Drosophila melanogaster: one gene and its partner. The gene in region 1 interacts genetically with each later gene. Each region holds a gene or a part of one and is shown on either strand. Other genes may lie near its edges.

The links.
Region 2: of path (region 1) and pum, changing one suppresses a phenotype caused by changing the other (phenotypic suppression), as found in Drosophila melanogaster (one study listed by BioGRID).

Annotation. Positions count from the first base shown.
Region 1 is NT_037436.4:9,502,305-9,507,274, reverse strand, and holds the start of path (pathetic), read left to right. Parts: upstream 1-1,946; 5' UTR 1,947-2,143; intron 2,144-4,970. UniProt on the Drosophila melanogaster protein: Amino acid transporter which has pH-dependent electrogenic transport activity for alanine and glycine but not for proline. Plays a role in positive regulation of growth by directly or indirectly modulating the effects of the TOR signaling pathway.
Region 2 is NT_033777.3:9,233,709-9,238,794, forward strand, and holds the start of pum (pumilio), read right to left. Parts: upstream 3,318-5,086; 5' UTR 3,102-3,317; intron 957-3,101; 5' UTR 154-956; coding exon 1-153. Other genes in the region: D1 chromosomal protein, read right to left, coding at 4,811-5,086. UniProt on the Drosophila melanogaster protein: Sequence-specific RNA-binding protein that acts as a post-transcriptional repressor by binding the 3'-UTR of mRNA targets.

The DNA of each region.
Region 1 (4,970 bases):
CTCAATCGAACTCAGATGAATCTACAGCTAACCTAACCATAGCTCAAGCTCAACTCCATAGTAACTGAATGGCAGTTCCAAACTAGCCAAAGCATAGAAACTACAGACACAGTCAGACCAGACATCCTCGTATTATTCACATCTATCAGGTCAAATCAGATATAATCGAATCGATTCGAATCAACTCACCTACAAATAAAGTACTATAACCGTGTGCAATTCCCATCTTATTTCTAATTCTTGCTCAAATTGTATTCATGTTAGCCCGACCATTTTACATTTGTAGATTTTAAATCGCATAGGTTTTATTGCAAAGGAAATGTATACCATCATGAGTGGAATTTGCAGATAATCAAAATGAAATTCAAGCGGTTTCATATGATTTATGCGAAATCGAAATAATTGAAGCGTAACAAAATATTTGCAAGATTCTTTGAATAAAAACGTACATTTTAACAAATTTGTTGAAGTTTTCTTATTCTTATTTAATACTTGAACTAATTTTATTCTGTGACTTAACAGTTTGCGCCCAAAATCTAACAATTCAAATTAATTTTATGTCCCAGGAAATTGTTAATAAAAATAATTTCAATTGAGATTGTGGGAAATTTATGCTTATCTATTCACTTGGTCACCATGCTATCTATAATAATATTTATAGCCCCATTCGGCACGCGAGTTTATGTTAAATATAAGTATTAAACGCCCCGCTATCTATTTATATTTATTATTTTCCTTTTTTGGATTTGTGACCATTTATTCTGATTATAATAAATTATTATTCTTTCAAGAAAAATGAATGTTTGTTGATAATAAAGATTATTTAAAAGTAGTGGCAATGATTTTAAGTAATACTATATTGAAGTTCAATTCCTAGCATCATACTAACTAACATATCTTTCATCATGCAAACATCAGCAACACAATATAAGATCTTAATCCTACCAACCCATCCTGACATCATTTGTATCTTCTTTATTTGGCTCTCCTCAACGTAATTGGTTCATTCGCATATCGCAAATAAATTGATAAGTGATAAATGACTAGCAAAAACATACCGGTTCCGTGTTAAAGTGAATTTCATCAGTAGAAAGTTGTAGAACTTTGGACGTATTTACCTGCTGTTGAGCGGGTGGAAATTATTATTGAACAACGTGAGAGAGAGCAAAAAGTTGGATAAATACGTAAATATTGTGGTTATCTTGTTCGATTCCCAGAACTTAAACAACACCGAAACCTAATTGCTGATGCAATGCTGTTTATCAATTTCGTGCAAGGATCTTACCGCTTCTACCCGCAGCTCCAACTTTAAAGTTTCGCATTTCCGGCAAGTCTAAAAAGTATATAGAGTTTGCCACGCTTATGAAAGCCGGTCTTAGATTTCGTCATCCAAAAAGTGGAGAAGGCCCTTGCCCTTTAGGATTTGCGGAATATACATATCTCGCTTGCTCTTCTCAAATTCAGCGCATCGTGTCGCTGTCCTTGTCGTCCTTTCAGCCGTATTTATTTTTTTCTCTTACCCGGCTTTTCTCTTTCTCTGCATTTACAAGCTGTTTGTTTTAGCGGGAAAAAAGCCAGATCGGATTTTAAAATTTCATAAATCAAGCTGTAAAATCAGATACGTACTTGCCTTACCTAATTTTTTTGTGTTTACTAAGAATAATTCATTAAGAAGTAAAAATATTCTAATAATCGTAGCCATTTTGACAAAAATTCCTTAAGTGGCATTTTGTTGTCTTTTTACTTAAGGTAGTTAAAAAAATATTTATAAATATTTATAATAAAAATCATAATTTTCCTAAAGGCATAATCTATACCTATAATTTATTACGTATTCTAAAATATAATATTTTTACATCTTGCCTTATAAAATAAAGTAAAATAAATGTCGGCAGCACTGTTGCGCTCTCTCAGTATTTATATTTAAGCAGGGACTGTGTTTCTCATTTTAGTTGCTGTTTGGTGTTCGCGCAGTCCGCACGGCTTTTTGTGTCGCGGGAGATATCTCCGATTTTTTAACTGCCCAAACTGTTGGCATTATTACAACTTTTATTCGCCTAAAAGGCGATTGACCGGGAGGAGTGTTTGATTTGCGCGGCATTCACCAATTCGTCAGCACTTCAGAGAAAGAAGGAGCAATTAAGTAAGCATAAATTCTGAACTACTGTACAGTCGCCGGATTTAAGACAAGGGAAGCGAAAAGAGGGCAACACTTGAAGCACATGGCAGAAACACAGAATAAATTGGGTTTGTCTGAAAATAGCATAGTGCAACTGCTGCTATAACAGACATGTGTTATGTATTCAAAAAAACATTCGAAATAGAAGTATAGAATTATAGAATGATGTGCCATGTTGTAGATGAGAACCACGAAAGCAGACGAAAAACAAAAAGCAGGAGAAAAAAACGGCTTTAGCGAACCATAAATAGCCGAAGTGACAATTAAAACCGAAACCTTTTCATAAAAACCGAAAAATTCGACAGTCAAAAAAAAAAAAACGGGACACGCGTGCATTTTCGACGTCAACGTAAAACGAACACGTTGCACCTGTCCCGTTATTTGCATTACGGCTTTCTACATTTTTTTGGCTGATATGTGGATATTTGTGGATATATTTGGATGATTTGTTTTCGGGCATTTTATAAAGAATACGTTTTTCCTGAGTCATGAATGGAATATAAACATTTCCTCGGTTGCCCGCGCTTTCCATTGCAGTTTGATGTTAGTGCTTTTATACATGTGCTATAGTTCAATGGCTGCGAATAGGTTTCTCCCCAATTTGACTTGCTGATGCTCCACGTTTCTTGCTAAATTTCAATACGTAATTTACCTGTAATTGAGCACTTAGCCAAGGGAAAGTTCGCCCGATGCCAGCGAAACAAATATAATAAAAAACAAAACGAAATTAACTGTTAGCAGAGCACGCATAAAAGAAAAAATAAAATGGATTACTATCATAGCTGTCTGCACACACACGTCAATGCAACTGCCCCACCCACACTGAACTGCTGCACCCACGCCCACACACTTTTAGACCGATTCGAACTGAGTCATCAAGGACATGGCCGAAAGGAGCTCGGGCCAAAATGGGATGGGTGCACTGAGAGAAATGTGCATCCAAAATCTACCTTGTGCTTGAAATCGCTCTGTTGCTTTTAAATCTATTGATGAAGTAAACTAACTTCTATACACTTTGAATTCGTTAATCTTAGATCTATCTATCTATCTTTGGCATTGAACGTTTAATACTATTTATGACAATTATTATTTCGCACTGTATGTGTATCTCATCACTTTTGCCGACTGAGGTGCGCCTGTTTTTGGCCATATCTTTACGATGTAACCATTTCCTCGCTTTACGCGCTCGTTTTCTGTTTGTGTTATTGATTTTGTTGCTATTGTCGCTGTTGGTAATTAGCATAACAGAAATTTACAAGCTAAAGTCAAAGACGCAGTAAAACTGTGACGTCAGAGGCTGGGAGTCCAAGGGAGAGGCAAGTGTCAAACAAAGTGAAAAAGAGAAAGGTGCTAGGCAGAAAGAGAGGGGCGCACGTGGGTGCAACATGTTGATTGCGTGGGCGGCCTTCGGGCCATTTGGCATATTCCAAGAATAAATCTGATTTACATATCTTACGATTTTGGGATTATGAATATTAAGTACGGATTTTAAGCCAACGATTTTAAAGTGGAATTGAAATTGTATCATAGAAACGGGCATTCAGATATAGTAGGTTTATACCTTATATATTTATTCAAAATATATATATATATTATATATTATATTATTATTCAAAAACCTATCTTTATTTCTTTTTACTGTTCTGGCTGTCAATCGGCTTCGCTAATTTGCACACATGTGCCACTTGCGCAATTTTCCACCAGAAGCAGACATTACACTTGACCGCCTTCCTTCCCTTCATTTGCCACAACTGACCCGACAGAAACTAATTATTTTTAGACGCAACTAATTTCCGTAACACCTGAGTTCGTTTCTGTTATCATGTTGCCATTTTTGCCTTCTTAAATCGATTGGACCATTGAACGGCAGCTCAATAAACACTGTTCCACATAAAGTGTCGAAGAAAACAATTACCAAAAATACAGTCCAATAAAACGAAGTTCATATTCGTATCGTCGCACATTATCTAAAACGATAATGTGACCTTTGTGGCGGCTTGCTTGGGTTTTTTTTTATCAGGATTGACATTATGCAACAACCGCATGCAAACTCTCCAATTGCGGGTAATTATTTTAAACACCTTGAACAACAGGGAAAATTGCATTTATCTCTGTAGATAGGACAAAACAACAGATAGTTACTACCATTTCATTTTTTTTTTTTTTTTTTTTTTTTGACGCGTGTCTCAATTTTGATAAGGAGACTTTTTAGAAACCTATTGGGAGCTGTATTTAATCAGCAGTTTCCCCCGTTCATATGCACATGGAGGCTATAACCTTTTTCTAATGACGTAAATGTCAAACAGATCTGAAATCTTTGACGTTCGAAAACAGCTGCTTAAATATTTTTAGAGATTTCAAAATTGATGAAGAGAATTTACCAAACAAAAATTACATAAAAAGAATTGTTGAGTTTTTGAAACAATTTCGAAATATGTCACTCCACTTCACTTACATTTCCGGTAGTTATATCAGCTTTTTCGCTTTTTCCATGAATCATGTTCCACTATCAACAAAAATTCTTTAAAAACCGCAGAATGTGAGACAATTGCTGAACTCGCAACATGATTCCCCCAAAGTGAACACCTATGTATAAGAAGGGGAAACCAAACACCGTTTCGATGATAACTCACTAGATAAGGAGTGTCAACATAACGATTCCAAAACAAACAAAAAGCAAATGCAATCCATTCGCACAAAACAGAAACGTTCGGCTGATGAAATGCTAAAAAAGCTTTGCAGCATGAAGCGCTGGGATAAATATAAACCGATTCTTCTAAGAATAAAAGTA
Region 2 (5,086 bases), on another chromosome or scaffold:
CTGGAAGACATAGCCGACGGCGGCGGCTGCGGCGGCACCAGCTGCATCGGCGGCATCCTGAGAGACGCCACCTCGAGATCCTACAATGGCATCCGTGCCAACGCCGACGCCTCCGCGGCCATTGCGATCATCGTTACCACCCAAAAACTTCATGTGTTGCTGGTGTTGCTGCTGCTGCTGTTGTTGCTGCTGCTGTTGGTGTTGCTGGTGTAGCTGTTGAAAGTAGGGCGGTGGTGGACCGTAATGTTGCTGCTGCTGCTGTTGATGTTGCTGATAGAGTTGCTGCTGCTGCTGCTGCTGCTGCTGTTGGTGTTGCTGCTGCGGCGAGGGCGTCGATATGGCAATTGTGGGCGCGGTTAGGAGCTCAATTTTGGAGGCTTTTCCTAGCTATCGCAGCTGACAATTTTGCGCGTATTGCCAACTTGAATTGTATTTTAACTTGCAGCACAAAGAACCACACGCGCGTTTTGCAACACTATTCGCTCGGAAATATTCACAAATGTTACATATAATTTTTTTTTAATTTTCGCTTCAGATTTACACTTGTTTTTTGCTTTTATTTATTTTGTTGTAAAAGAAACCACACTTTTTGCTTAATATATTTAATATTTATTTTACAGGCTTTGCTGAGATTTTTCACACACTTTTTGATCAAAAAAATTGAATTTGCTTCGTTTGGTTTGGTTGTCGTGGTTGGTTTGTTTTTTTTTTTTTTTTTACATAAATTTACACAAAATTATGAATAATATTTTACACAGTTGCACAGCTGTTGTTTTTGGGACTTAACAAAACTGAACTTTATTTATTTAATTACGTATGAGAATTGGTTAAAACTTGAATTTTTACAGATTTCTTGTTGAGAATTGTGGAATTTCCGTTTATTAATGTAGTTTATTAATTATAATTAGGATGAATTTTAATTTACACGACGTTTTAATGATGAAAATATACACAAACTGCAATGAGAAATTAAAGTGTAAACTGTGATTAGTAAACGCAGTAGTTTTTGGAAATAAATTGTTGAGAAATTATCGATTTCGAATCAAATAACTTTTTATATGATGCTAGTTTTTATTCCCAATTCAATACGACACTCGAACCACTGTACTTTTGTGCGATTAAAAACTTTGAGCTGGTCATGGTAAAGAAAAGATTCCGATAACACAGACAGCAGACAGGGCACATAATAATAATCAACAAAATAAAACGCACAAGGCACGCGTAAAAGCAAAACAATTTCTTCTAAAACTGAAAGACGACTAAGGCAAATATTAGCCATGATTTCCCCATTACGAAAACAATAACAAAGTAGATGCCGATAAGTGGTGAATTGCGGGGGGGGGGGGGGAGTGTGTGCGTTGCGTTTACGTTTGAGGAACAGGAGCCCCAAGAACAAGTCGCAGAAGCAGACTATCCATAGAAGAACAACGCAGCGCTGAATCATGCTCGAAAAATACGGAAAATATAATTTGGTTTCTTTGAAGACCGATTGGATTAATACTCTTAATAAATTACGATGCAGGCTAGTTTTATCAGTGACTATCAATACATAACTTTTCAGACTTTATCTATTCGTAAGTGCTTAGCAACCGTAACAAAAAGTTGGCACACGATAACAATGGCGTTTATGTTGCAGTTCCAAAAAGGTTTTAACGAAATTTTATAAATCACCATTAGGACCATTGCATTTCAACATTATGAAAATGATCTTTAGATCTGATTATTCAAATCCTGTTTTACTCTTTTAACATGAAATTCTATAATAGTTTGGGATTATAATAATATCCATTGTACAAAATATGGAATCCAATGAAAACAGAAACAAAATCCCTTTTTAAAATCTGGTTACATTGTAGATCGGCTTGTTTAACATCTAAGAATTTATACATATCTGGAAAACTTGTGAACAGAATTATTGTTATAGCGCCTCCCGCGGAAAGCACACGGAAAGACGTATAGCGGCTTGTTTAACATCTAAGAATTTATACATATCTGGAAAACTTGTGAACAGAATTATTGTTATAGCGCCTCCCGCGGAAAGCACACGGAAAGACGTATAGCGGGGGGTGGTGGGGCGGTCGAAAATGGAAAACATATAAAATTAACATACACACAGAGGAGCAAGAACAACAACAAGAACGATGCCGGCAGACGATGAGCGAATGCGACAGAACGAATGGCGAAGAAAACGAAACGAAGACGAAGGCGAAAGGCGGCCGCAAACATTTGAGGTTACGTTTTCAGCGAAAAGAATGCGAGTGGGTCGGTCTTTTATTTTATTATTTTTTTTTTTGTTTTTGGGTTGTTTACGAGAATTATATCTCCATTTCTCCCTTTCGGTCCTTTCGTGCCTCCCAAGAAGCCCCCCAAAAAAGGAGAGACAAGTGCAGCATGCGAAAAGGAAGAGAGAGAACGCGAATGCTGTGCCCCTGGAAGCTCGCACACACCCACACTTCTAGGGGAGGGGGGTATATATAAAAACAAACATAAAGATAAACCATAAAAGAGATGGCGGACAAAACAAAGGAGGTGCGGCCAATAAGTAATTAGGAATTAAAACCATTTGAATTGTTTAATATTTTAGTTGGTAGTTAGGCGTTCTTATTGGGAAAAGCACATATATACAATTGCAAGGCGTCCCGAGAGAGAGAAAGAGCGAGAGAGCACACACACACACGTAAGAGGGAGCTGAATGGTTTGGCGGGGGGACGCGGGGAGAAGGAAGAAGCAGAGCAGCCAAATGGCCACCGCTCAAAAGGAAGAACACGATGGTATAAGGAAATAATGAAACACACACATTCGCACACATACGCACAATCGGAAAAATTTGTTCACCAACCAAACAAAAAGAAAGGAATCATATAAATTATTCAGGCACACACTTAATTGATTTTTACCTTTTTCGGGCAAAATACGAATTAATTTCGCAAACTATTTATACATGTTTGCATATGTACAAAAAGCGGTCTGGAAATGCACACATACACTCATGCCGCCGAAATGGAAAAGGAAACCCGATGATGACAATGTAAAACGAAACAGGAGTACTTTACGGTTTTTAGCTGTTTTTTTTTGTTCATTTCCTTTTTTGAAACACTTACACATGCACTTAAAAAAGCCTTCTCGTTTGCATTTCCATTGATTTGATGGTGTGTGTGCTTTCGTTAAATACGAAATTTAGATTATTTAAATTACAATTATTTACACAGGATGATGAAGAAGAAATCGGCCAGGAATTTCTTCAACGTCGCCGCCGTCCGTCGCAGAACGATAATAAAAGCGAAATGCAAAGACACACTGGCCAAATACAACTACAACAAAGAGCTAGAGAGAGAGGAGAGAACAAGAACCCCCCAAAATGAGAGCAGTGTTGGCAAACGTGCGAAATCAACAGAGAGAACGAGTGAGCATGCCCACAGAGTGCGAGAGAGAGCAAGAGCGGGGGTGCGAGCGCAAAAGACCGACAATTTATTTTACTTTTATTAACATGCGCGCAAAATATTTATATAAATTGATTACACATTTTCTTGTTCTTTTATCATCACCCCCTTTTTTATATTCACCCTGGCAAATGAATTACGCTGCCCCAGCCAAATTGTTTATATATTATTTATCAATCGATTTTAGGGGCATGCCAAATTTGATCAGACGCCAGTCGCACACAAACACACACTTGAGCACACACATTCACAGACCAACACTCGCGCATACATACACACGCACCAGGGTGTTTGTTTTGTTTTTGTTTGCGGCTTTTTTTTTTATCAATTTGTGATCTTTTTTCGCAGCCGCAAATTTGATTGTGATTTACCGCCGATTGGAAATGTAAACAATGCTGTCGAACTATCAGCATAAGGCTGGCAGTTTTAAAATACTTTTCATATTTTATAGCTGTTGGGTACTCACACCTTAGCTTATTTGAAAAATTTACATATTACAAGCACGCCGTTCTAGGTCTGCTTCTTCTTACGCGCGAACATTTAGTGTGACCGCAGCTCGACCGTTCAAATATACCATTGCGAAGCGCACTGAGAAACACTCTCCAATAGTTCTAAGATACCAAAAATTTAGCATACTACTATATGTAAGTTATAATTTCATTTACTATCCCATTAGAGAAATTAATTGATTTTTATGTTCTATAATGCATTTAACTAGTTGCCCTAGTTTTAATGTTGTTAAAATAGCATTACAACAATTACCGTTTATAACTTCACTTTCTTCAGAGTGACCATATAATGTAAAGTACAGTGAACACTGTATATAAAGAATCAATACAACCATGGATTTACATATTTTTCCATCTGGTTTATATCAATAGATAATATATGTTAAATGATATATATAAAAACTAAATTACACAAAATTTTTTTAGGTATAGTAGGTTTATTTAAACTTGTATACGATTGAAATTTCTGCAATCAAATCAAATTTGTTGTTACAATAAAGTTCAGTTCTACTTCGGAACTTGAAATCTTCCCCAAATATGTTATTTATGTGTTATTTATTTGGTAATTTCAATCCAAGTTGAAATCGTTTTCCGAGCTATGTGTCGTCATTACAGTGCAGTGCAGTTGTAAACGGTTTGTCCGATTTCTCAGCAATAAATCGGAATATATATGTAGACAAAGTGTGTTGTTTTAGGAGGGGAAGGTTCTCTAAAGTCCAAGTAGGTCCTATCCATTTTTGTGTTTTCTTCTCTTACTTGCAGATTTTTTTTCGTTTTTTTTTTTTTGCTTTTACAACATTCTTTTTTTTTTGTGTTGATTTTTGGGGAGGGGTGTGTGGAAATGTTTATAAATTGTATGTTTTAGGCAGCTACCGATTCGGAATCGTTGTAGTTATCCGAAACATAACCGTCGTTGGCATCATTTTCGCCATCGGAGTTCCATTTGAGGCCATCTCCTTTGGTTGGTGTCCCATCCACGGCACGGTCCTCGTCGTTCGACTCCTTCTTGGAGTTGTGTTGGCCCTGATCGGCGGAATCAGCATCATCTGCATCGTCATCAATATTTTTCGCTGGGCGACTACGGGGCTTTGTTGTTTCCTCTTTGGACACCTTGCCAGCGGCAAGAGAGGGACGTCC